Linked DNA regions of Coturnix japonica. The protein of the gene in region 4 interacts with the protein of the main gene of each other region in a biochemical or structural test. Links are inferred from orthologs where the notes say so. Each region holds a gene or a part of one and is shown on either strand. Other genes may lie near its edges.

Region 1 (4,260 bases), on a different chromosome or scaffold from region 4:
TTTCAGTGCTATCAGATGCTTGTAGCCTTGTCATTCCCAGCTGTGCTTTGGAGCACAGTCAGTGCAGCTCTGATGCCAGTGAGTGGCTGCATCACTTTGGGGATGTTCCACTGAAGTAATGAGGGCTGCTCTGGAGCTGAATCGTGTTCCAAATGTCTGCCCTGGATTTTTGCTTTGGCTTTGCTGTGCTGCCTCTCTGGGAGGAAAATATAAGAAAGCAACTGGAACTCGTTGGTAAAGGTAATTAATGGAGCAGCAGTGGTATTCTGCTCTGCAAAGTGATACTTTTGACTTTTTAATTAAGGCCTTTGCATTTGAAACGTCCATCAGCACTGTAATTCTGCATATCTGTGAGCACACCTGTTAAGAATCCAACCCACTCCCTGCACCGCATTCCTGCTACTAACCCAGCCATCAGCAAAGCCCAGCTCTGGAACCCAGGTGCTCCTTTGGAAGAGCAGGAGATGGAAGAGCTCTCACACCGTAACCCTGTCGGTCCTGCAGCAGCTGAGGCTTCAAAGAGCCACTGTGAGTTATCTGGCATAGGCGATGCCATGCACGATGTCTGGGTGGGGCGGCTCGAGGAATGCACTGCTGGGGCAGATCGGAGCTGATGCGGTCACTCCACACTTGAATTTCTTACATATTTGTGCTGATAAGTGCTCATCTCAGAGCTTGTCTTTATATCAAATTGGGAGCTGGTCAAAAGCAGCCGATAAGTAATGGATACATAAGCAACAGCTGGGAGAAATGTTGCTATAATATCTATGCTACGTATCATAGAAGATCCCTATTTGGAAGAGTCTTATCAAGGATCGCTGAGTCCAACTCCTATATATGTAATTTTGAAGAAAAATCAATGCGTGGACATTTTCAAACCATTCTTTATAATTGACAACAACTTTAACGATGCAGGTCGGGGCGTTTGTGCATTGTGGCATATTATTATTTGTGGTCGTTTCTGCAATAATTCCTCCTGAAACCTCTTTTGTTGCCACGTAGGGAGCGCAGGACAGCTGTGAGCGGCTCTGATTGCAGCGCAGCAGACGGTGCTTCTGTGCCCTCGGATAACCGGGCAGTCCGGTAAGCATCGTCCATCCACCCGTCCCTTCCCCCCCCGTGTTTTGCGGTGGTATTTGTAATACGAGGGTGTAAACGGGGGGGCTACGAGCACAGAGCCATGAAGGCTGTAAAGACATCTCAGACCCCCAAGTCCGACCCCTCCGTGCCCGCCCACCATGTCTCTCAGTGCCACATCGCTGCTCCTGGTGGGGCGGCACATCCCGCACTCCCAGGGCTGCCCGCTCATTCCCCATTGAATCCTTCCTAACACCCAAATAACGCACATCCCCCTCCATCCACTAAACCCCGACCGGAGGGGTCTCGACACCCCTGGGCTGTCCCCTTGGCCGCTCCGCCCCCCGCGCCGCCCTCGTTCCGCCGCTTAAATCCCGCTCCGCCGCCTCTCTCCGTCGCCACCGCCGCGATGCTGCCGCCGTGGTGTCTTAGCGCTCTGCTGCTCTCCCTGCTGCCAGCTCTGCTGCTCGCCGCCCCCCCGCCGCCCGCCTGCCCCGAACGCTGCGATCGCTCCCGCTGCCCCCCGGTTCCCTCCTCCTGTCCCGGCGGTCCCGTGCTGGACTCGTGCGGCTGCTGCCGCGTGTGCGGGGCGGAGGAGGGAGAGCCGTGCGGGGGCAGCGAGGGCGGCCCGCAGTGCGGGGAAGGGCTGCGCTGCTCGGTGCCGCCCGGCGGAGGGGTGCCCGCTTCGGGCACGGTGAGGAAGCGGGCGGCCGTCGGGCGATGCGTGTGCGCCAGCTCCGAGCCCGTGTGCGGGAGCGACGCCGTGACCTACGCCAGCCCCTGCCAGCTGCGGGCCGCCAGCCGCCGCGCAGAGAGGCTCCGGCAGCCGCCCATCATCGCCATCCAGCGCGGAGCCTGCGGGCAGGGTAAGGGGCGAGGGTGCGTGGAGCCAGGGGGGAGGACCTTGGCTCGGGTCGGGGTTGGAGCGCGGTGAGAAAGCGGAGCAAGAATGCGGCGCTCCGAGGCTGCCAAGTGTCAGAGGGAAAGAATCCGCCGTCCCGCTCGGAAAATCGGCCGTTGTGCCCTGCTTTCCTTTGCCTCCAAAAGGGATGCCGTGGGGGGCCGTCCCTGCGAGCACCCGAGGTCAGAGAACGGGGCAGTGAGCACCTGTGTGTGTCTCTGTTCATTGAGGGGTAGTTGGACCTAATGGCCTTTAAGGGGCAGTTCCAACTCCAGCGATGCTGTGAAATCCTGAGTGCGCTTCCATCCGAGCGCTGTGTCCGTGTAATGCCATGGGAAATGGAGCCAGGAATGCAGCCGCCGTTAGGGCTGAGCGCAGGCAGTGGCTGCACTGTCCGCCTGTGCCCGATTTAGCAAAGCGCTCCTCATTAATAATAGGATTGCTGGACAGGATCCGAACTTGGATCCCAACAGCACTGAGGCTGACTTCAGTGCTTCTGGAGCACCGTCCAGAAGCAACAGCATCTCCAGCAGCAACAAGTGGCGTGGTTTTCCTTCGGCATTGCTGTATTCTGTTACGTACCGCTGAGGCTTTGCTCCCACTTTGCTCGGTGCAGGTTGAGCCTGCAGGTTGTCTTCCTAACACCCATCGGATTAAATCTGTTCAACTACAGCTGCGCCTTCATTCCGAGACACTCGGTGCAAACGTGCTCGTTAATTAACAGGAGTTAAAGCCTATTTCTGAGTGGCAGAAGGGTCTGAGTAGCTCCTTTTCCCTTCGGACTGACCCTCAGGGTATGGGTTGAGCCAGTTCGTTTAGCAGCAGCTGTAATCTTTTCTCCACCTTCCCATCCTCCAGCAGGACAGGGAGAATGGCCCAGTCCTGCTGTACAGCTTCCAGCTCCCAATGTCTCCATCCATACCACCCATTTTCCATCTCGCTGCCCCCCCTCTGTGTAAGAGCTGCATTGTGCTCCTGGAAACATAGCTGGCATTTAATGCCCGACACAATCACAGCTTTCACGCTACAGTTTCCTGACCTGCAGTGTAACAAAATGCCTCGTGATGTTGTTCTCCTTCCCCCTCTCCCCCCCGGCGATTCTCAATTCATTAGACTGATAGCATTGTTTTACACCTTGTTCTGCGGTGTAGATAGTAAATTCTGTGGGCAGAATTTAGGCTGTGAGCTGTGGGCATCCCCTCTGTTCTGCATGAAGGATGCTAGAGGTGAACTGACCCAGCCTGGCTGCTGCTGTGGGGACAGTTAAAAGGGACCTCAAGCATCACAAATCCACCATAGGCAGGGCCACCAACCTCCACATTTAATACTAGATCAGGTTGCCCAGGGCCTCATCTAACCTGGCCTCGAACACCTCCTCTTGCCCGTTTTCCAGAGTGGCGTTATCTTTGATAAAATATTTCTGTCGGTTCATAGTAACAGGTGGAGATTTGAAGCTGATGTAAGGTAAAAGATTTGGGGTTTTTTTGCAGTAATAAGAGCAGTGAGGCGCTGGTGCTGCTGTGCAGAGCTGTGGGTACCCATCCCTGGAGGTGGCCGAAGCCATGGATGGGCCCTGGGCAGCTTGAGCTGGGGGGCACTGAACCACAGTAGGGGTTGGAGCCCAGTGATCTTTAAGGTCCCTTCCAACCGAAGGCATTCGGTGATTCTATGGTTCAGTTGTTCATTCCTCTTGGACAGTGGGCTTGGTGGTGATAGGTTGATGATTGGGCTTGATTTTAAAGTCTTTTCCAAAAATCTCTTACAGTGAGGGTAGTGAACCTGAAACAGATTGCTCAGATACGTGGTTCCATCCTTGGAGACTACCAAGGTGAGGCTGGATCGGGTCCTCAGCAACCTGATAGGAGCCTTTGGTGTTCCTGTGCATTGCAGGCGTGTTGGGCCAGATGGCAGTGAGAGGTCCCTTCCGACTCCTAAGGATTCAATGATTGTGTTACTCTATGTCCTGCTCTGGGAGCTGCACACAGATGAACCCAGTTCCTTTTCTGACCTTTAACCAAGAGGAACAGCAGAGTTCCTCTTGGATGCTCTCGGCTCCCAACTTTCCTCTGACCTTTTGTGACTAACGTCATTAGAATTTCATTAATTGAGCCCTTAACAACAGAACAAGCTTAGAATGAAATCCACGCAGCAAAGAATGGGGGAAAAGTAGTAGCAGCTGCTTAAAATCTGCCTGCAGTGCTGGTTGGGCCAAGCACTCTGGCAGCGTTGTGATGTGCAGTGATGAGTAATCAGGGCAGGAAGGGAGACTCAGCATTCTGGGG
Region 2 (3,500 bases), on a different chromosome or scaffold from region 4:
ACTGTATCACTCTTAAAACAGGTTCTTATAAACATTCTGAAATGACACAAACAATGTTATTCTAGGATCAACATTATATCTCTGAAAGTCAGCTGATTACAGAACAGCAGCCTAGGTCAGGGTATTTAAAGATCTGATTATCACCAACCCAAACTGCATTTCAACCAAATAAATATTATTAAAGTTTCTATTGAATTTCAAGGCTATATAATAAAAATCCTGCCTGGCCGAAGGTCTGTTTTGTCTCAAAACTATGTGCTTTATTACTGCTTGTAAACATAGATCTGCGCTGTGGGTATTTCAGCTTTGACTTGCAAAGAACTTGAGAACGGTGGTGAGGTGACGGATTTCTTGAAAACCTGACAGAGTTCCACACATCTTCCAAAACTGCTTCCCTTCTCCATCTCTTCCTGGAAGATTTATAGTTCTAGAGAAACATTCTCTTGCTTCTCAAGTGTTTCCTCTCTGTTGCCAATGAGTCTGCAACCAATACACACTAGCTGAGTAGAAGTTTACCTGATTCTTACCAGAGGAAGAGTGGTAAAGGTAGCATATGCAGCGCTGATACTGTATCAGCCTCAGCTCTGCTGCTAAGTCCCTGGCCAGCACACTATTGGATGCTCCGGGAAAAGTATGCATGGGAACCATGAGTGCATCTATGGCTGGGGCTGACCAAGTAATTTTAAGACAAAGCACAAAGAAAAAACACTTTCCCCCAAGACAACATTATCTTTCTGCCTTTTAAAAGCTCCTCCTAAGTAAGTACTTCTAATTCTAGTTATGTATTTTTAGAAGTGCTCGCACAAATGCAATGGCTGTTTATTTCCAGACCAACTACTAAATATATACTCCAAGTGTAATTTTAGGTCCGCACATTTAAAGTAAGTTTGTACTGCCTCTCCCACTTGCATTAGTGTACTGACTACTCCCCACATCATCACTGTTTTAGTACTGACTCAAAACACCCCTGTCCCATGTAACATTTACTTCCATGCAACCTGCTTACTATGCTGCTCCCTGTGAAGCTGCTATGCAACATCACTCTCCAAGGACAAAAAGGAATTTTAAAAGAACTAGAAAATGCCATGATATTAAAATGAGAGTAAAATTACATCTGAAGAGAAACTGCAATTGCTGAAAATACAGAGAAAAGTACTATAAAATGAAAACGTACTTCCTAAAACTGAATCGTGACATTGTGAGGAGAGAGGAGTAATCTCTCAATATCTCGTGGTGGTTAAGCTCTTATCACTATGTCCTCTAGATGAGGATGGATCCAACACAATTAATGAATACCCAAATGGAAGTCATCACTCACTATTCTCTTCTGTGCAGATTATACTCAAGTTAAAACTACTCATATTAAGTCACAAAACAGTAACAGCTTGAAAGAAGCAGACACAGCTCAGCAAATGCATGCTTCCTTGCACAGGTAGCATCCATGGCAGGAGGCAGAAGTCACACCAACACAAATATAAAGCTGCTTAAATGGGATTTCATCTCTGGAACTCTATCCACTGCTGCACAGCTATGCACAGAAAGATAAAGCAAAGGTCACTGGCGATTAACTCATGCAAATACTATTTTCAAAGCATGTATTTATCTTCTGTTCTACTTTCAACTATGGTAAGCAGGTGTTACTTATGCTTATGGTACTGCTTGCTGCTGTTATTCCTTCTTTTTTTCCCCAAAGAATTCCTCGAAGTTGAAGATATTTATGATCTTGTCCAGCTTTCTCCATGTTCTGAATTTATTATCTGATCCAAACGAGTGGGAGCACTTTGCACTTTGAAATGCTCTTAGATTATAGTCTTCAGTTAGTTGCAATTCACTAACATGTACTCAGGCTATGTTGTTTCTGGGATGCTTCCTATGGTTTTGTTTTGGGGAGTGGGGGGGAATGAGTTGTTTATTCATTTTCAGTAAGATTTCTGGTCCCCTAAAGTAGGATATAACTATCATGAAAGTTAAAAGAAGCCTTAAGCAGTGACTATATTTCATCCTTGATCTAAACCATAGAATGGCTTGGGTCAGAAGGGACCTCAAGGATCAAGGCTCCAAATCCCCCACCACAGGCAGGGCTGCCAACCTCCATATCTAATACTTGACCAGGTTGCCCAGGGCTCCATCCAACCTGGCCTTGAACACCTCCAGGGACAGGGCATCCACAACCTCTCTGGGCAGCTGTGCCAGCACCTCACTACTTTCCTGGTAAAGAGCTTCCCCGATATCTAGCCTAAATCTTCCCTCCTTCAACTTAATACCATTACCCCTTGTTCTGCCATTATCTACCCTTGTAAATAGTTGACCCCCCTCCTGTCTGTAAGCTCCCTTTAGGTACTGGAAGGCTGCAATGATGTCACCCCACAGACTTCTCCAGGCTGAGCAAGCCCAGCTCCCTCAGCTGGGATAACACTTGTAATTTATTTATTTATTTATTTGAATGAAAAAGGTTAAATTACTTACTTCCAAGCTGCCTCGTTTGATTGGATTCAGTACTAGTAGCTTCTTAAGTAGGTTTTCACAGTCTGTGGACATATAGAACGGAATACGATACTTCCCCCTCAGTACTCGCTCCCTCAGTTCCTTTAAAATAAATTTTTAAAAGATGAACCTACAAATGACACAGAAAACTTAAAAGAAGAAAAGCCTTATTTCATATTATAAGCCTACCTTTAGATTCTGACCATCAAATGGCAATGATCCGCTTACTAGTGTGTACAATATCACTCCAAGACTCCACACATCCACTTCAGGACCATCGTATTTCTTCCCTTGGAAAAGTTCAGGAGCAGCATAAGGTGGGCTTCCACAAAATGTGTCCAGTTTATTACCAACTGTAAATTCATTACTAAACCCAAAGTCTGCAATTTTAATGTTCATATCTGAATCAAGTAGAAGGTTTTCTGCCTAAGAGCAAAATAAAAGAGGAGAAAGACAAGCTATGTATAAGATCAATATATCGCAGCATATCATTTAACAAATGCAAAATTGCTTCCCCTTCTGTATCTTTCTTGCATTAAGAAAGGAACTAATCCTCCATCATACATAACTAAGGTTGAAAATGGACTACATTTACCCAGGAAAATGGAACTGATAAGTGTCATATTGAAGCACCCGGACTTCTCAAAACAGCAGGAGAAGAATAAAGTGAATTTCCTCAAGCGCATGGGTGCTATGCAGTGTCTGCAGGAGAACCACACAGTTTACTCATCTGTGGCCAGGCTCCTGATGGAGACATCAACAGCACAACTGCCCAGAAACTAAGAAGTGCAGGAATCTCTTTTTCAGCAGATCAGACATGAGCCAAAGTGCAGCATTCTCCTAATTACCACATGTCAGCTTTATCGCTAACACTGAATTCTCTCATCAAATACTGTGCTCATTTGAGTCCCCTTTCAAACAGATTATCTTTCCTTTCATTCAGAGAAGGAAACAATCAGAAAAACGACCAGCACAGATCTCCTGGCTTAGCATCTCTGAACTTGTTTACTTTACTA
Region 3 (4,120 bases), on a different chromosome or scaffold from region 4:
ACTTTCCAGTGATCTCTTCAGGTCAAACTGAAGGCTGGGGTGAGGTGAAGAGGGACTTCGTGCTCTGTGATAACGCTCAGTTCAGACCAACAAAATAGCGACAAAACCTCCCTGCTGGACAAGCAGTCCGAGTATTCAAACGGAAAAAAAAAAATAAATGTAGATAGACTCTGTAAACCTACAGCAGGATGATTTTTATCAGCCATTTTATGTGTAGATGCTACAAGTGTGATTCCATGCGGAAATACTGCTCAAGATTTTTATTAATATAGACATTGTGCATCTGTGTGCGAGTGGGAAGCTTTCATTCACAGCCCTGCTTGAGGGAGCTCCTGCCTGCAGTGCGGTGCTGTTCAGCTGCCTGCAGCCTGAACAGGAGGATGCACTTCAAAGAACAGATCTGCTATTTTCTTTCTATCCGTGAGTTTTGTTGAAGTTGGTTATGCCGGATAAGATGTCACAATACCACTGGTTAAAAATAAAACCTATTTTTCAGATCTGCTGTGCTGATGGTTCTTCTGACCCCTTTGGCTAAAGGTGTGATTTTGATGTGAGATGAATTCCTCTCTCGTCGTACAGAATCCCGCGTGGTGGAGGGGTGTGCAGTGCGGCCCAACTGCAGGCCCATGCCCATTTGCCTCCCCCCCCCCCCAGGTACAAACCTGGCCTGGAGTCTGCATGACTGCTGTACAGTGAAAGTACGTGTAGGCTGTGTATATAGTGTACACAATAAATGAGCATTCTGCTCCTTGCCTTGACCTGGGACTTTTCCCTGGTAGCAGAGATTTGCAGCTGTCTGCTGCTTAGAAATGGGTGGGTTTCTGTCTCCAGCTGCCATCCAGTCGGTGGTGGGAGCAGGCGTTGTGACTTGCCATAATGGTGGTTTTCTGACTGCTGTTTGTCCAGCACTGTTCAGTCAGAAGGGCAATCAGGGGTAACTGAATAGAGCTGCGTTCATCACACCAACAGAAGCTGCAGTGCTGGCTGTGATGGAGCTGCAGCTTGTGCTGCTCCCCCTGCAGCACTGCACGGAGGTTGGTTTGAAGAGGCACACAGGGAAAGAGAAAGGTGTTTGCTGTGGTGCAAATGGAGAGAAAGAATCAAATGGTCAGAAAGAATCCTGGATGGAATTTGTCAGTTTTTCTGGGGAGAAGAATCCCAAACCTTCCACATTCCTGAGTTGTGTTTGGTTGCAGTTTATGTTAGTTAGCAAACGACACTAAAATCGGTGAGAAATTAGGGAAAAGTGACTTAGACTAATTCAAAGAAAACAGGAAATCTTAAATTAACTCCTCTTCCAATAGCTGTGCCCCAGATACTCACAGCTCCTGGACAGGTGCTGGCAGCCACGTGCGTGCAGTTGAGCAACAATTCTCCGTGCTCACCAGGTGACAGATGAGTTACATTTGTTTCTGCCGCAGCACTTCTGGCTGTAACTCCTCTTGCTCACGGATGTATTTATAGAACCCAGCCCATTCTGCTTTGTTTCCTTACTATGCTGTTGCTAGAGCCAGGGTTGGTTTGTACGTGTGTGCATAAGTAAAACTGAAATGCTGCCAGCACGCAGACCCTGATGTGCTTTATAGAACTGCAGGCCCTACCACTGCTACCTGGAGAACACCTGTGCCAATTTTAAAGCATGGTGTGGTGGTTGCATGTAAGCAGATAAAAGGAAACCTCCCTAAAACTGCAGTAGTGCATTTCTGTAAGTCCCACCTGTAGGGCAGAGGATGGAGCAAAGCTGAGTGTTGGCAGAGCGTGGCTCCTCAGGCAGAGCTTAGTCACTTCCTCCAGAGGGAGGGTAAACCCTCGGAGCTCCACTGAAGTCAAATCAGAGTGTGAGGTCTGTGCTCAGCAGGGTGGGCTGGGCGCTGCGCGGCGGGACTGACTGCTGCAGAAACGAGGCCGGACCCCTCAGACCCCAACACCTGCAGCTCCCAGGATGATCCCATCTCAGAGCAACTCCTGAGCATCTCACTGCAGTCTCGTAGATGAAGGGAAGCTCAGACAGCCTTCTCTGCGCCGTGTGCTGGGAAACTGTGGAGGAAATTCTGGCTGCTCTCTTGCTCTTCGGTGAATGTAACACCCCAGTGTCTGTCCTGGAGCTCTCCTCTCCCAGCAGGTCCCTGCAGGGCTGACTCGGCACTGTGGCACGGTGACCAGGTGTGACCTCGGTTTCCTGATGCGCCCTTACTCACCCCATCGGCGATCTCACGAGACCCCCGTCAGCCCCATGTGGCACTTGTGGGGCGTCTCTTCTCGCAGTCCCACATGCAGCTGCAGGTGTGTCTGCGTTGTGGCGTCTATCGGAGCACCCAGAAATACCTGCACACAGCCAAGGCGTGTCTGGAAACCTGATGCCTCATCTCCGCCATGTGGAGGCGGAGGGAGGAGGGCTGTGAGACATGTCCCTTCTTGCTCACAACAGCTGAAAGCAGACAAGGCAGCTCACTGTAGCCCTTCTCAGCAGCGCAGGGCATCCCGGTTGCACCCCAGGGGCGCCGCCAGCCGCCGGGACCCTGGGTGGGTGGCAGTCCCGCAGCCACCGGGCGATGAACATCGCAAGGAGAAGAGGCTTCTACAGACAGGAGCTGAACAGAACCATCTGGGAGCTGCCCAGGAGGTACACGTCCCTGCACCCTGTGGGCTCTGGGGCCTACGGTTCTGTCTGGTGAGTGGGGCCTGGGGGAGCAGCGAGGGCTGATGGTGAGAGGTGCCTCAGCACCCTCTGGTCTGATGAGGGTCTTTGTGTGTGCGATGAAGGTAGTTTGTATGTTGCTCGGTCACCCTGAAGGGCTGCTTGAAGAATGGCCCTGTGCCTCCTGCGGTCACCCCGACAGGCAGCAGGGAGAGTCGTGTCTGGCTCAGCCCTGAGGGTGTCCTGCAGGTGGGGATGTCCTCGGGTCAGAGCTTGGGGGATGGATGTGGTTGGCAGGAAGAGGGAAATGCCTGAATATCTGAGAGCTGAAGAGTTGGGCACTGCTGAAACAAACACTGAGCTCTGGGCAGAGCTGTAGCAGCTGATGCTGTCTCATGGGGGAATGGAGCTGGGTGGTACAGCCAGAGCACTGTGTCCAGCTCTGTGTTGTGAGGCAGCAGCCATCTGGGACTTCCCGGGACTTCCCGGAACCAGGGAGCAGCAGAGCTGCTGTTAATCAGTTACTTGGACAAAGGTACCTACAGGGAAAGCGAGCAGAAGAGTCAGATCTCACTTTGTTTACACTGGTGGGTGTGAGGGTGCTGGTGACTCTTAGTGAGGGCAAATCCATTGCAGCCCATTGTCAGTACCCAAGCAGAACCTCACAGCATAACAGGGTGAAAAGAAGAGGGAAGAAGTGTGTCCTCTTTCCTGGATGTTGGGCAAAGCATCTCCTGCTGTCCCAGAGGAATCCCCAAACTCCCTGCCTTTACTGGGGCTCTGTCTGCACTGCAGGATGTGAATGGGGACCAGAGTTTTCCTTCCCCACTTCGCTGAGTGTATGCAGGGTGGGGTCCTGGGATGCTTCTGTGAGCCCCATAATGCTAAACTTGATGTTTTCATATCTACACAGAAAAAAGCAAGAAAAATCCCTCCAAAGTTTTCTCGACTAGCAAAACACCAGTACCCAAACCAGCCCATACTGTGGGAGTCTCAGCTGCTCAGGAAGGGATGGGTTAGAGCGGACTGAGGGGGACGGGGGCTTTGTTATGGGATGGATGGTGCTTGGCAAGGTGGGATTGTGCTGGTTCCTGTACACAGCACAGGAGGAATGCTGTGCAGTTGGGATTTGCTGTCCTCTGCTGGGAACCACTGGGAAGCTTTTCTATCACAGTGTTATTTGGAGCCAACAGCTTTTGCACATCTTTGAACAACCAAGAGGGGCTGAGAAACAAATTGCAGGAGGTCAGCACGGGCCTGTTTCTTTCCCCATTAATTCAGCAGTGACTTGGTAACTGGGGAAGTTTTCTGATGCCCCCAGCCCTGTCCTATGGGTGCGACGTGCCACAATTACCCATAGAACCTTCATGACCTCACCTCGAGGTTGGCCTTGGTGTCATCCTGAGCTTCAGCTGCTCCTTAATCTTTGCTGGGAAGAACACCGTGGGCTCGCCCAGCTGTGTCACATGAGTTACCTCTGGG
Region 4 (3,500 bases):
GCTCAAGGTTGGTCGGGCTTCTGTCACTGGGGTCTGGTTGCTGCTCCTGGGGGGGATGGGGGGGGATTGGGAGTTTACTTTTGTAATGCAACTGGGTGGTTGTACAGCTCTCCCTGTTGCTGGCAGGAGGGTCACACACACTTTGAATGTCCCCAACACGCTCATTTCAGGCAGCTCCTCATTCATCAGTTTCTCTCTCAGATGGCTGATGCTTGTTTGCCCAGTGGCAAAACAGAGCATCCTCCGGGCTACAAAAGGTCATAAATAAACAGAGCCAGGATGGTGTAGTTTGCCAGGAGGTGCTGCTCAATGTTGCAGGTCACTTTGGAACCCTGCATGTCCCACATGAAAGGACTGAGCTATCTGACTCTATGTACCATGTCTCATTTAGGGTGGGCTCTCTTTGCATCTCAGGAGTGTCTGACAAAGCCAGGCAGGGTGGGCAGTCATTGTAACACAGCTGTCTCGCTCACATCTGTAAGTGACAGCAGCAGTTTTGTGTGTTAGTTATAAGGGCAATTAAAAGCCCATTTAGTAAGGTGGTTTTCTGTTGGGGTTGTGCAGTGTCTCGTGACAGCACCAGTTTTGTGTGTTAGTTATAAGGGCAATTAAAAGCCCATTTAGTAAGGTGGTTTTCTGTTGGGGTTGTGCAGTGTCTCTCCTCCTCACGGCTGCTGTGTACAGTCATCCCTGTCTGTGCAGCTCTTTGCTTTCTCAGCTCAGAGTGAATCGAGGTCTTTGCTTTTCACACTCAGCACAGTGACACACGCTGCTCCCTGCAATGAACATCAAGCATTTGATGGTGGTTCTCAGGCTAGCAGCTCTTCTGCATTCAAAATAGTGATGCTACTAAAAGGGAAACCGAGGTTGTTAGCGGGATGGAGTGTGTTATCCCTCCTGTCTGTCTTTTCCAGTCTGCTTCCAGCTGCTGTTTCTCCCCAGATCTTTAATGATGGTTTTCTGCCTTGGCCTGGGATCTTTCAGCTGTCAGATATGGGGAAATGAATTGCCTCTTTTACCCTAAAACAACAAAAGATCCGTGTCTGTGTGACTGTGTGTTTTGGGTTTTAAATGTCACTCTTTCTTTCCCCTGTGCCCAAATGATGGCAGCAGTGCTGGAGCACTAATTAGGCTGAGTGGGCACACAGTCCAGAGCTGCTGTGGTTGTGTAGTTACAGCCATAGTTTACTTACAGTCCTTCCTACCAGGGCTCTGCCTGGCTGCTGTTAAGGACATGGCAATATGGGAGCAGACAGGGGAGTGCTGCTCCCTGGGCTCATAAGAACCAGAAATGATGTGGAGGTGGATGGGAAGCTGGATGTATTCCTGAATACCTCCAAAGCCAATGCCTGGCAATGCAGGTGTGACACACAGGGACCCTTCAGCCACCTCTGATATGGGGTCCAGGCAACACTTTGGCCTTCCCACCTTTGCCTGACCCTCTTTCCAGTTCCCATGGAGGTCAGAGTTCCTTTAAAACCCATTCTTTGTCTGCTGAATTCTCATATTGATAGTACAAACCCTGAGTTTCCCTTCTGCACTGTGTGATTGACCACCTCTCTGTGCTTGTACTCACTGTCTGCCCACGCTTCATACACTTCATCTTCAGCTCCAGGGGAGCCCAGCTCTCCAAAGTTGCAGCCTGGCCATAAGGAGCATATGGGAGATGTGGTTCAAAGGGGCAGCCAGCCCATGGAGCAGGTAGCTGGTGTTCCTCGGGAGCCACAAGAAACAAAGGCTGCAGCCACAGCTCCCACCAGGATTGAGGTCACTATCCCAATCCCCCTGGATATGTACCAAGATGTCAGAGCAGCTGAAGCCAGCCGTGAGCTGTGGGATCGTGGGGGCAGAGAAGGCATCGGCGTGGATCCAGAGCTGGGTGATGTGTGCAGCACGGGGCTGGCAGGAGCAGGTGGAACTGATGCCTCCCATACTGCAGATGGGCCAACTCCTACTGGAACCCCACTAAAAGAGGACACCGGAGATGTGGACCGTGATATGGATGAAGCTTCTCAGCAGGATTTGCTTGGCCTGGTGGGACAGCACGTTTCTCCAGGCCCCAAAACAACCAAAGAAGCTCTTAAAGAGGAAGGAGAAAGCAAGTCCAGGGATGTCCTCAGAGACACAGAGAGGGAGGTATTCCTTGTTGAATCTGAAGCACGTAAAGCAGAAGACCAAGAAAAGAGACAGCATCTGCAGGGGGAAGAACCATACACAGATGTCACCTCATCAGAACCTTCTGAGACCCAAACAGAAGGGGCAGGAGGGGATGCTGGACCATTAGTGGAAGCAACTGAACCCCCTGATGGGTTAAAGGATGGGAGAGAAGACAGAGATGCTGCAGTGGAAGAGGTGCTGGGTGCAGGAGGGTGCCGGACGCCCAAGAAGAAACCAGGTGCTGCAGATAAAGCAGTCAGTCGTGTTCCTCTCCTGAAAGGTGTGTGCACCATTTGCCTGCCTGGAGCTCACCTTGCTGGTGCATTGCTCACCATGAAGCTGCTTGAAGCAGCACTTCCAGCTTGCTGCCTCCTCCTGAATTGCAGTGCTTGGGACATGGCCTGGACCTTTGCTGTGAACTGATCTACGAAGCTCCGCCGCTTCCCCCTCTCCCTCCTTTAATCTTGGATGTCCTGGCATCATTGTCAGACCTCCGTGCTTTGGTTTTGCATCCCTTGCATGGTGCTGGTGTGTTCCCAATCACGCTTTTTTTCTTTCTTTTTTCCTTTATGATTTCTTTTAATTTCAATTCCTTTGGATCTTTGGGCTCTTTAACTCACACCTGGCAGCTTCCCAGAGGAGACAGATTCTAGATGGATGCTGTGGCATGTTGGATCGGGGCTAACCCAGCACGATGCTGCTTGTCCCAGCAGGGCACATGCCACTTGTTTTGCATGTGTCCACTGTCCAGTGCAATAACTCTTTGCATCAGCTTCCCTAAAGAGGAGGGAGGAGGGAGTTCAGACCTTGGGACCCACGTTGGTCCTTTGCAGAGCACACCTGAAGCTCTTACACAGCATCATGCTTTGATCCCAGCTCTGGATCTGTGGATGCTCCGATGCAATGGCTGTGCTGGGTGTTCTGCAGGGTGTTGTGTGTGTGGACACTCTCAGGCACATCTAACAGTGTATGTGTGTGTTCCTGGGCTGGAAATCCTCCTCTGTGAGCACCCAGAGCCCTGGGTGCTGTTTGTGCAGCAGGTCTCAGTTCTGGCTGTCCATGGGGAAGGTTTCCATCCTCCCATCAAAGCACAGACATCCCTGCTGGCAGAGCAGCTCTTAAACCTTTTCTTTCTCCATGAAAGAGCCGTTTCCCAGCTTCCAGGGATCCAAGGCATCAGAAAGCTTTGCATAAGTACTGCAGGGCATCAGCATGGCTTGCTGTCGCTGTCATCAGAGCCTGAAACCAACCGTGGGCTGGGGATGCCTTGCTTGGGGTCACCCAGTTTCTGATCCAACAGAAGGAATTTCTTTCATTAATCCATTTGTGGGCTTTATTTCCTT
Region 5 (4,010 bases), on a different chromosome or scaffold from region 4:
CCCCCGTGAGCACCGTCCGTCTCTCCAGCACCGCACACACGCCCCAGGCTCACGCTGTTGTGTTGCACACATCGGTGCCAGGAGGCTGGGAGCGGCCGAGAGCCCCACAGCTGCCCCACAGCTGCCCCACATCTGCCCGCCAGGCGCAGGCACGGAGCTCATCCATCCTCCATCCCTCCATCCCTCCATCCCTCCATCCCTCCTCCCCCCCCGTTCAGCCGCGGTTCCGCTCGGTCCCGGTGCCGCCGCCGCCCCGTCCCGTGTCCGTAACCGCGGTTCGGGGGGCGGGGCCGCCCCCGGTTTCATCCCGGCGGGTTCGAGCCGCAACTTCGGAACCCGCGGCCCAAACTCCCGGTGCCGCCCCGCCGTGACCCCGGAGCCGTCGGGGGCAGGAAATGAATCACGGAGCCGCGCTGCGCCACCGCGGGACCGAGCGGCCCCACGGGGACACGGGAGCGGCCCCACGGGAGCGGCCCCTGGGCCCGGCCCCACTCACCCCATGGCCCCGTTCCGTCCGGCGCTTCCACCGCCGCGTCCCGCCGCTCCGTCCGTGCCCGTTCGCCCCGGGGCCGTTATAGCGGCGCTCTCGGGCTCGGGGCGGCGGATCGTGGCGCGGCGCTTTGTTCCATCCCCGCGGCGCTGCAGCCCCGGGGCTGCTCCCGGCCACTCCTACGGGCGGGGGGGGGCGGCGGGGGGGGTCCGGGCGGCAGCGGGGCGGGTTGCGGGGCACGGCCCGGTCCGGGCGGGGCGGCCGGTGTCGGTAGCGGTGCCGTGTCCGCAGCGCCGCCCCCGGCCCCACCCGCCGCTGTAACGGGGCCGGGCACCGAGCGGGAACGTGGGATCAGGGCGGGGGGGCGCCCCCGGTGCCCGCAAAGCGCGGAAGCGCTGCCCGGTACCCGCTGCCCGGTGCCGCCCCGCCGTGCGCTGTGCGCCGTGTTGTGCCCGCGGAGCGGCGGCACCGACCGAGCGGCTCTTACCGGGACTCCGGGCGGAGCGGGCGGGCCGGGAGCCGGAAGCGCAGCCGGGAGCGGACACCGAACCCGGAACCGCACCCGGAACCGCCCGGCGGCGGCGGGGATCGAACCCGCGGCACAAGGAGCGGGGGGCGGGGACAAAAGGGGCGGGGCTAAAGGGGGCGGGGCCGCTCGGCGGCGTGGCGGAAGAGCCGGTACTTCCGGGAGGCGGGACGGAAGTGGAGGGGCTGCCGGGAGGGGCGGCGGAAGGGGCGGGGATACGAGGGCGGGGGCGGGGCCGGCACCGGGACCGGAGCGGAACCGAACGGGACGGAACCGAAGGGGACCGAACGGGACCATGCAGAAATACGAGAAACTGGAGAAGATCGGGGAAGGTGCGACGGGACCGGACCGGGGCGGGGCGGGGCGGGTCCGGTGTGGGGCCGCTGGGCTGAGCCGTCCGTCCGTAGGTACGTACGGAACCGTGTTCAAGGCCAAGAACCGGGAGACGCACGAGATCGTGGCGCTGAAGCGGGTGCGGCTGGACGATGACGACGAGGTGAGGGCCGGGATCGGCACCGGGATCAGCGACGGGCCGGGTCGGGTCGGTTCAGTTCGGTTCGGTTCGGCTCGGTCCGGTTGTGCCCGGTCCGGTTGTGCCCGGTGCACACGGGGCTGCTCGGGGCCGGTCCGAGCCGTGCGGTGCCGCCGTGCAGGGGGTGCCCAGCTCTGCACTGCGGGAGATCTGCCTGCTCAAGGAGCTCAAGCACAAGAACATCGTCAGGTGAGTCCGGTGTGTGATATGGGCTGTGTGTGCTATGTGCTGTGTGTGCTCTATGTGCTCTATGTGCTCTATGTGCTGTGTGTGCTCCTATGTGGCTCTAGGTGTGCCTCTATTGTTGCTCTATGTGCTGTTGTGGCTCTATGTGCTCTGTGCTGCTCTATGTTGCTCTGTGCTGCTCTATGTTGCTCTGTGTGCTCTAAATGTTTGCCTCTAATGTGCTGTGTGTGCTTCTATGTGCGTCTATGTGCTCTATGTTGCTCTATGTGCTCTATCGTGCTCTATTGTGCTCTATGTGCTCTATGTGCTCTATGTGCTGTGTGTGCTCTATGTGCTCTATGTGCTGTATGGGCTCTATGTGCTATGTGCTCTATGTGCTCTATGTGCTCTATGTGCTCTATGTGCTGTATGTGCTCTATGTGCTCTATGTGCTCTATGTGCTGTGTGTGCTCTATGTGCTCTATGTGCTCTATGTGCTCTATGTGCTCTGTGTGCTCTATGTGCTCTATGTGCTCTATGTGCTCTATGTGCTGCTGTTGGTGCTCCCCGCCCGGTACCGACCCTTTGGTGCCGCCCCCCCAGGCTGCACGACGTGCTGCACAGCGACAAGAAGCTGACTCTGGTCTTTGAGTTCTGCGACCAGGTGAGCGCGGATCCGGCCCTAATGACACCCCCCCCCCATAAACCCAACCCCGTCCGTGCCCTGATGGCAGCACCGCCCCCTGCAGGACCTCAAGAAATACTTCGACAGCTGCAACGGGGATCTGGACCCTGAGATCGTGAAGGTGTGTGTGTGTGTGTGTGTGTGTGTGTGTGTGTGTGTGTGTGGCCACATCCCTCTCTGCTCTGCCCTCTGAGGCCCCATCTGCAGTGCTGCGTCCAGAGCTGGGGCCCCCAATACAGGAAAGACAGGGAGCTGTTGGAGAGGGTCCAGAGGAGGCCACAAAGATGCTCAGAGGCTGCAGCACCTCCACGACAAAGACAGGCTGAGGGAGCTGGGCTTGTTCAGCATGGAGAAGAGAAGGGAAGGCTGCGGGGTGAGCTCAGTGCAGCCTGACAGTGTTTAAAGGGGATTAGAAACAGGAGGGGAATCGACCTTTCACAAGGGAAGGCAGTGACAGGACAAGGGGAAATGGATTTAAGCTGAAGGAGGGCGGATTGAGGGTGGATGTCAGGGGGAAGTTGTGTACTGTGAGAGTGGGGAGGTGCTGGAACAGCTGCCCAGAGGCTGTGGATGCCCCGTCCATCCCTGGAGGTGTTGAAGGCCAGGTTGGATGGGGCCCTGGGCAGCCTGGGCTGGTATCAATGTGGAGGTTGGTGGCCCTGCCTGTGGGGGGGGGTTGGAGCTTTGTGATCCTTGGGGTCCCTTCCAGCCTGTTCTGTGTTGCTGTGCTGCTGTCGCTGTGGCTGGTGCTGGCAGTGGTGCTGTGCTGACTGTGGGCTGTGCTCTCCCACAGTCCTTCATGTACCAGCTGCTGAAGGGCCTCGCGTTCTGCCACAGCCGCAACGTCCTGCACAGGGACCTGAAGCCGCAGAACCTGCTCATTAACAGGGTGAGTGCTGGGCTGGGGGCAGGGGCACCATGTTACCCCCCCCCTGTGCCCCTTGGGGTCCGCTGGGTGCTCCCTCAGCCCCTGACCCCTTTCTCTCTCTGCAGAACGGGGAGCTGAAGCTGGCAGACTTTGGCCTGGCACGGGCCTTTGGCATCCCGGTGCGCTGCTACTCAGCAGAGGTGAGGAGGGGGCTGCTGGGATGCACATGGGGGTCCCGGCATTGCCCGCTCCTCCCGAGCATCCCCTGTGCCCCACGCAGGTTGTCACGCTGTGGTACCGACCCCCGGACGTGCTGTTTGGTGCCAAGCTCTACTCCACCTCCATCGACATGTGGTCGGCTGGATGCATCTTTGCAGGTAGCTGTGGGGCCGGGGGGGCTGTGGGACGCCTGGGGCGGCCATCGGGGCTCACCCCATCGGGGCTCACCCCATCCATCCCTGTGCAGAGCTGGCCAACGCGGGGCGGCCGCTCTTCCCAGGGAACGACGTGGACGACCAGCTGAAGAGGATCTTCCGATATCCTTTGGGTGCTGTTGGTGTGGGGGGGTGAGGGCAGAGTCCCGCAGCTCCCCGTGGCCCTTGACAGCCCCGCACGCTGCTGGGCACCCCCACGGAGGAGCAGTGGCCGGCCATGGCCAAGCTGCCCGACTACAAGGTGAGGGGTTGGGGGGCACGGTGGGGCGGGGGGGGGCGGCGTGGGGCCCGTTGCTCACAGCTGCCCCCA
Region 6 (2,450 bases), on a different chromosome or scaffold from region 4:
AACACAACATCCAGTCATTCCTTGAGAATACCCCCAGGGTCGGTGACTCCACCACCTCCCTGGGCAGTCCATTCCAGTGCCTGACCACCCTTTCTTAGAAGTAATATTTCCTAATGTCCAGCCTGAATCTCCCCTGCTGCAGCTTGAAACCATTCCCTCTGGTCCACGATGACATATGTACTGTCAGTTCTGTATGAAAAATGACAGTGAACAGCTCATCTCCTGGAGCCCAGAGGAGGCACAGTCTGGTCCAACACCAAGATGTGAAGTACTAAGGTTTGCTTACGTTATATATTGCAAGGCTGCCTAAAGATATGTAGAAGAGTGGCACGTGAGCCTAAGCCATATAAATCACTTGATTTAGTGTACCACATGAGATTACCCTTGTCAAGGAGTGTGTTTGTACCCCAAATCATGCTATTCCAAAGCAAGCTACCTGCTGCTTTATTTCACTACTGCTTTCTTTCCCCCCGAGGATGCAAAGCACCAACAAGCTTTAATTGCGCCACCAATGACACTTATGTGCCAGCAAAAGAAGCCTTTTATGCACATTAGAACTACAATTGCACTCAAGGAATGAAGTATGTTTTCAGCGTTGAGAGGAAAAAAGAAAATCCACCTTAATAAATGCATAAAAATAAGGTGGTGGACCCTGCTGTACATAGATAGATACACTTGTAAGACATTTTTTTGTACTTCCTATAAGCAGTACTCTTGGAGCAAGAGAAGCTAACCTAAGACAGTGCTTAAAAAGATTTGGAAATAGTAAAAAATGTGCCATAATTAAACAGATATATTGAGCAAAAATCTGTCCTTAAAAGTTAATTTCAATAAAATCTGAGCACCTCTTATTAATCCAGCACCAGTAAACTTTGTCCAGATTCCCTGAGATGAACAGAGCTGCACTATTAGCTTTAAATTTGCCTTTTTGAACCTGTTGCATATACACACTGGATGGTTTGATCCCAGTGTTTCTGCCAGCTCCTGATCTAACATGGTAGTTTTCTCCCTTCTGCGGCGAGAATTAAAGAATGTCATGTAAGTAGCAACCTACTTAGATTTTAGATGAAAATACAGTTTTTTTGTCAGCATTGAAGCAAAACAAGGAATCTGTTTTTTCCCTATAGCATTTATATCTCTGCACATATCCACGCTGCGATGAGAAACTTTCCTGTTAACGACGGTAAGAAGTTCTGTGAACTCCAAGGACGAGCCGTGCTTCCTGAGGGCCTCACACAAATCTTGAATGTACCAGGAGCCGTTTATGGTTTCACGGTGAGAAAAGTAACCTATTGCAGAACAGGAAAATACGATTATATTTAGTTGTAAGTAGCCACTGCCACTGAAAAACATTCACGAGGGTTGCTCCTTGCTACCTTCACCTAATGGAGTTACTACTGGATGTAAATCTTACCATGTCAAGTTATGCAGTTTCACTGGAAACAGCAGAAGGAAATGGTTTTCATGTCACTTACCATGTCTAGCCAAGAGGAACACAGTTTAGGAACTGGTAGCTTATTGTCCACAGGACTGTCTGCAATTTGCATGGCAGCAGATGGGACTGAGGACAAGACAGATGACGGACTGGAAAGTACAGCCACACAGTATGGGGGAACAGATAAACCTCTCAAATACCAGTCTTGGAGAAAAGGGGAATGATTGCTGTCAGCAGACAGCTCAGCAACAAGATTATGAAGAGAATGATTCTGTCTGGCAAATTAACTGCAATTTTGAACGTTTGTTTTTACTTTTTCCCCTAACATATGGGGCTCCTTCCCAGATGTCACTTAACAGGGAGCAAAACAGATGACATGGAACTGTACTCATTATTTTGACTGCAAAATGAGGAAGCGTTCAAGCTTGTTCTAATGAAATATCAGACAGACAGACATAAAATAGAACTCTACCTTGTGCCACAGAATAGCACATAATAAAGTCCGCACCAGCCGGCAGGGTATAGACGCCAGCTGCATCCACTTCAGTCTGGTTAACAGTGGTTTCATCTTTGCTGTCTACTGAATCCTGGACAAGAACTGGATCATCATGTTTATCACCTCGACATGCCTGTTGGGGAGAGAAGGATGGTTATACTTTCACCTCTGTGAAGCTAATCTGTGTTACCACAATGCTTTTAAACAAAGAGGACTCCTGTTATGTTTTACATTAACCATATGTGTAGATTCATAAAGACACATCTCTATCAATTAAAATATTGGTAATGAAATCCAATAAAAACTTAGGGTCAGCTATAACAGGTTGTTCAGGACTACGTCCACTTGGCTTCTGACTGTCTCCAAGGTCACATGACATCTTTCAGTGTTTGCTCACCTACCCAGTAAGAAATGTTTTCTTGTGTTGAGATGTTCTATGTGTTAGTTTGTGCCCACCATGCACGACTGAAGAGATCCTGGCTTCCTCTTCATTCCCACTCCTCCTACCAGGTATTCATA
Region 7 (3,500 bases), on a different chromosome or scaffold from region 4:
AGAATGCCTGCTACTCTATTTTATTCCAAGCCTATTTTTGTATAAGAATAGTCTTTGGAAGTCTTCTATGTCAGCTGTGTCTCACATAACAGGGAATTGATGAGTCTGTGATGAGTTCAAGTCATAATAATTTGCAGTGCTATGGCAGTGTCTGTATATGAAATACCAAGCTTGTTTCTTTCAAATGTGGGCTTGATGCATTATTCACTTCTGTAATAGCTTTGCTAATGGAGAGTTTGGAAGATTGGCTGCATGGCAGTTGATTTTATTTGTCCTGTGCTCAAGAAGTAAAATAATCATCTTTTAGTCCATAATACTATTTTGTTTCTCCATTCTTAGGTGGATTGTAGACATGGAAGGTGCTCCAGGAACGCTATATGAAGGGGAGAAATTTCAGCTTCTATTTAAGTTCAGTAGCCGATATCCTTTTGATTCGCCTCAGGTATCTGCTTTCCTCCTTCCTACTTAATTCTGTCTCTAAGTAATAATTGTGTGGTACATGCTGAATACTAATGCCATTTGTATATCCTAAGGTGAGGTTTAGTTGTCTCTAGAAAAAGCACACCTGCACAATATGTTTAACATAAATTGAAACAAGTGAGATGTAGTGCCTACTACAGTCCACTTAATTTCATGGAAGATGAAAGAATGGTGTATTCTTGAGGTTTCTTTATACACTATGAAAGAACAACACAGAATAGTAGGATGGTTCCTTTTGTTGCTGCACACGAGTGAACAACAAACAATTCTTTAGTCTCCTCTTCAGCTTCTATGTCCTTTCTTAACCTCTTCTACCTTCTCTACTGCCATTGTTAATATGGCTGTCAAAATACTGTTCATGTGGTAGGAATTCTCATGAACACCTGGCATCTCTGAGAGGTCTGCAAATCTAGTGGTTATAATTAAGGTGTGAGCTACTGCTTTCATGGCAACATTAAGTACTGGAGGGTCAACATTACTACTAGGGTGTGGAATGAGCTCTGTACATCCATCTGTCCATTACCTGAGAGAAGTTAGGCTTGGAGGAGGAAAGCAGGTGTTAAGTTATCCCTTCAGCTCTCCTGAAAATGAAAGAAAGAAGAAACAAGAGTGCTTTAGTTCTGGCCCTGTTTCAGCTCAAAGTTTGAAGAGTCATCTCTGCTTTTCTCATGGCTGTTGAAGCTCCAGCAAGGAGTGAGCTGCGGCAGTCACATAAACTGTAAAAATATGTATCTGTAAGGATTAAGGTGAAAACTAGAAATGCTTGTTCTTCAGTCTCAGGTTTTAAGGAACAAACTGGCACATTCCATTCCCATCTGCATTTTATCAGGTTTGCAGTAAGCTTCTCATAGGTGATCCATAAGACCCACTTTGTTTTGATTCCAAGTGGGTACTGTTTGTACTCTTTATCTAACATGCGCATGTGACTGTGTAAAAATTATTGTAAAACAGCAATCTAAATCAGTACACAAAGACAAATGTATTTATTTCCTTGCAAGCATAAAAGGCAGTTAAGAATTAAAGCACTGGATATTTAGTTCTTGTTGTGGCTAAAATTTTTTATCATGCTGCTGTACAATAATTCTCTGCTTTAAAGCTCTTGATTTGTAATTCTTTCTCCTATAAATCTACTTCCTCTGAATTGACAATTTGTTTCTCCTGTTCAATCACTTGATTGTTTTCTGCCTTGAGTGTTGTCTGTTAAGCATGCATGCTTAACTAGTCCTGGTTTTCTTGTATAATGGAAACATTAGTTAGAAATTAAATACTAAGTTACAGAGGTAAGCTTTTCAGTGCGTAAGAAATACCAGACAAAGATCATTCTGCATCCACTTTTCTCTGCTGTCATTAAAAAAATTGCATGCCATTTGGAAAGTAGCTTGAGCTTTCTCACCTCATTTGTGATGAAGCTGAAACTTCTTTCTGGTAGTCAGTAATGAGGTGAGGTGTGTGTACACGTACCTGAACTGAGAAAATCTTAAGAAGATGTTGTGATTTGAGTGGTAGAGATTTATTATGTCATTTTATAAAAGATTACGGTGCTTATGTTGAATAAGGAGCTCAGGAGGATAATGCTGCTGTGAGGATTTTGGTTTTTACTCCCTTTTCATTGGTCCTGAGCTGACCTTACGTTTTTGTCAAACTTATTGTAAGAGCAGTAATTGTCAAAATTGATTTTCTAACCTTTATTTTTTAATAGAGAGAAGTTGAGATTCTCAGTGCTGTTCTCTGTTGTTTGCTTCTGTTAAAAGAAAATTCCACTTAAATAACAATTTAAAATATTTCCAATGTGATAATGCAGTATGGTTGTAAGAGTCCTTTATGTTCTAGTTAATAGGATTAGTGTGTTTAACTCTTCTTGAGTTGTCTAGAATTTATATCCTATTGTGTCCAAAGAAATACTAATTTGTGAATCTAACCTTCCTAATAGGCAGCTGTAGGATGTAAATAGGATGTTTTAAAAAAACTGAAGATGCAAGATTTAAGAGTTTGCTACATCTGTTGCTTTTATGTTCTTTGTGTTTTGTAACTATTCACAGGAAAAAAACTGCATTTGGCCATTTGTGCTACTTCACCTTCACAAGGCTTTTGTCATTTCATTTTACATTTTGACTAACAGCTCAAAAAATGAATGAATGTAATATGGTATATTATGTTATTTCTTGTAAATGATAATGTCAGAACCTGCTTTTTTATTTATTTTTTTTTTTTTTACAAAATCTGCATAGTTTTTATTTAAAAGTTGAACAATAGATTACATTTTGGTGGTTTTTTCTTTTTTTTTAGGTCATGTTTACTGGTGACAATATTCCTGTTCATCCACATGTTTATAGCAATGGTCATATCTGTTTGTCCATTCTAACAGAAGACTGGTCTCCAGCTCTCTCAGTGCAATCTGTTTGTCTTAGCATTATTAGCATGCTTTCCAGCTGCAAAGAAAAGGTATGAGGTTTTTTTTTTTTTCTCTCCTAGAGTCACTGGCTTGGGTTGGAAGGGATCTTAAAGATAATTTAGTTCCAGTCCTCTTGTAATGGGCAGAGTTGTCTCCACCTGCTGATTTCAGCACCATTGGAGTAGAATAAGTGAAAATTATTGGTTTTCTACTTTGAAAAGTAAGATTTTTTTGTTTGTTTGTTTCTGAAATACTAAAATAGGCAAACCTGCTACATACTTGCCAGTGACAGTGGCGCAGTGGTAGGAATGCTGCGTTGCAACACCGGAGGCCTGGGTTCGAATCCCCCCCCTGTGGTGCAAGTGTTAGAAGTGCTGCTCTGCTACACAGGAGGCTCGAATCCCGGGGGTTGGACTCGATGATCTTTTAAGGTCCCTTCCAACCCGCACTATACTGTGATCTGTATTTCTGCTATTTGAAAGTATTAAGCTAGAACTGCAAACTAAATAGTACAGTAAATATTTTGTAACTTTTTTTATGGCAACCTGTTTGTACTACTTTATTGGAGAAGAAGCATAAATGAATACTTCTACTTGTACAAAGTCATTATGTTATATTAACATGTAAA

Evidence for each region.
Region 1: of the proteins of MAPT (region 4) and HTRA1, one has a biochemical effect on the other in vitro, tested with the Homo sapiens proteins (2 studies listed by BioGRID and IntAct, with this or other methods). The link is inferred for Coturnix japonica from reciprocal best matches to the Homo sapiens genes MAPT and HTRA1.
Region 2: of the proteins of MAPT (region 4) and MARK1, one has a biochemical effect on the other in vitro, tested with the Homo sapiens proteins (4 studies listed by BioGRID). The link is inferred for Coturnix japonica from reciprocal best matches to the Homo sapiens genes MAPT and MARK1.
Region 3: of the proteins of MAPT (region 4) and MAPK13, one has a biochemical effect on the other in vitro, tested with the Homo sapiens proteins (2 studies listed by BioGRID). The link is inferred for Coturnix japonica from reciprocal best matches to the Homo sapiens genes MAPT and MAPK13.
Region 5: of the proteins of MAPT (region 4) and CDK5, one has a biochemical effect on the other in vitro, tested with the Homo sapiens proteins (10 studies listed by BioGRID and IntAct, with this or other methods). The link is inferred for Coturnix japonica from reciprocal best matches to the Homo sapiens genes MAPT and CDK5.
Region 6: of the proteins of MAPT (region 4) and CASP6, one has a biochemical effect on the other in vitro, tested with the Homo sapiens proteins (2 studies listed by BioGRID). The link is inferred for Coturnix japonica from reciprocal best matches to the Homo sapiens genes MAPT and CASP6.
Region 7: the proteins of MAPT (region 4) and UBE2W are reported together in a solved structure, tested with the Homo sapiens proteins (2 studies listed by BioGRID, with this or other methods). The link is inferred for Coturnix japonica from reciprocal best matches to the Homo sapiens genes MAPT and UBE2W.

The regions. Positions count from the first base shown.
Region 1 is NC_029521.1:27,861,002-27,865,261, forward strand, and holds the start of HTRA1 (serine protease HTRA1), read left to right. Parts: upstream 1-1,460; 5' UTR 1,461-1,486; coding exon 1,487-1,943; intron 1,944-4,260. UniProt on the Homo sapiens protein: Serine protease with a variety of targets, including extracellular matrix proteins such as fibronectin. HTRA1-generated fibronectin fragments further induce synovial cells to up-regulate MMP1 and MMP3 production.
Region 2 is NC_029518.1:16,251,143-16,254,642, forward strand, and holds part of MARK1 (serine/threonine-protein kinase MARK1), read right to left. Parts: intron 2,911-3,500; coding exon 2,674-2,910; intron 2,587-2,673; coding exon 2,467-2,586; intron 1-2,466. UniProt on the Homo sapiens protein: Serine/threonine-protein kinase. Involved in cell polarity and microtubule dynamics regulation. Phosphorylates DCX, MAP2 and MAP4. Phosphorylates the microtubule-associated protein MAPT/TAU.
Region 3 is NC_029541.1:545,164-549,283, forward strand, and holds the start of MAPK13 (mitogen-activated protein kinase 13), read left to right. Parts: upstream 1-1,320; 5' UTR 1,321-2,552; coding exon 2,553-2,671; intron 2,672-4,120. UniProt on the Homo sapiens protein: Serine/threonine kinase which acts as an essential component of the MAP kinase signal transduction pathway.
Region 4 is NC_029542.1:2,383,630-2,387,129, reverse strand, and holds part of MAPT (microtubule-associated protein tau), read left to right. Parts: coding exon 1-7; intron 8-1,609; coding exon 1,610-2,437; intron 2,438-3,500. UniProt on the Homo sapiens protein: Promotes microtubule assembly and stability, and might be involved in the establishment and maintenance of neuronal polarity.
Region 5 is NC_029517.1:280,966-284,975, forward strand, and holds the start of CDK5 (cyclin-dependent-like kinase 5), read left to right. Parts: upstream 1-1,210; 5' UTR 1,211-1,311; coding exon 1,312-1,348; intron 1,349-1,423; coding exon 1,424-1,512; intron 1,513-1,669; coding exon 1,670-1,737; intron 1,738-2,316; coding exon 2,317-2,377; intron 2,378-2,462; coding exon 2,463-2,519; intron 2,520-3,191; coding exon 3,192-3,287; intron 3,288-3,391; coding exon 3,392-3,466; intron 3,467-3,546; coding exon 3,547-3,643; intron 3,644-3,732; coding exon 3,733-3,802; intron 3,803-3,880; coding exon 3,881-3,941; intron 3,942-4,010. UniProt on the Homo sapiens protein: Proline-directed serine/threonine-protein kinase essential for neuronal cell cycle arrest and differentiation and may be involved in apoptotic cell death in neuronal diseases by triggering abortive cell cycle re-entry. Interacts with D1 and D3-type G1 cyclins.
Region 6 is NC_029519.1:52,199,202-52,201,651, reverse strand, and holds the end of CASP6 (caspase-6), read right to left. Parts: intron 2,065-2,450; coding exon 1,908-2,064; intron 1,290-1,907; coding exon 1,051-1,289; 3' UTR 501-1,050; downstream 1-500.
Region 7 is NC_029517.1:106,928,341-106,931,840, reverse strand, and holds part of UBE2W (ubiquitin-conjugating enzyme E2 W), read left to right. Parts: intron 1-339; coding exon 340-442; intron 443-2,766; coding exon 2,767-2,922; intron 2,923-3,500. UniProt on the Homo sapiens protein: Accepts ubiquitin from the E1 complex and catalyzes its covalent attachment to other proteins.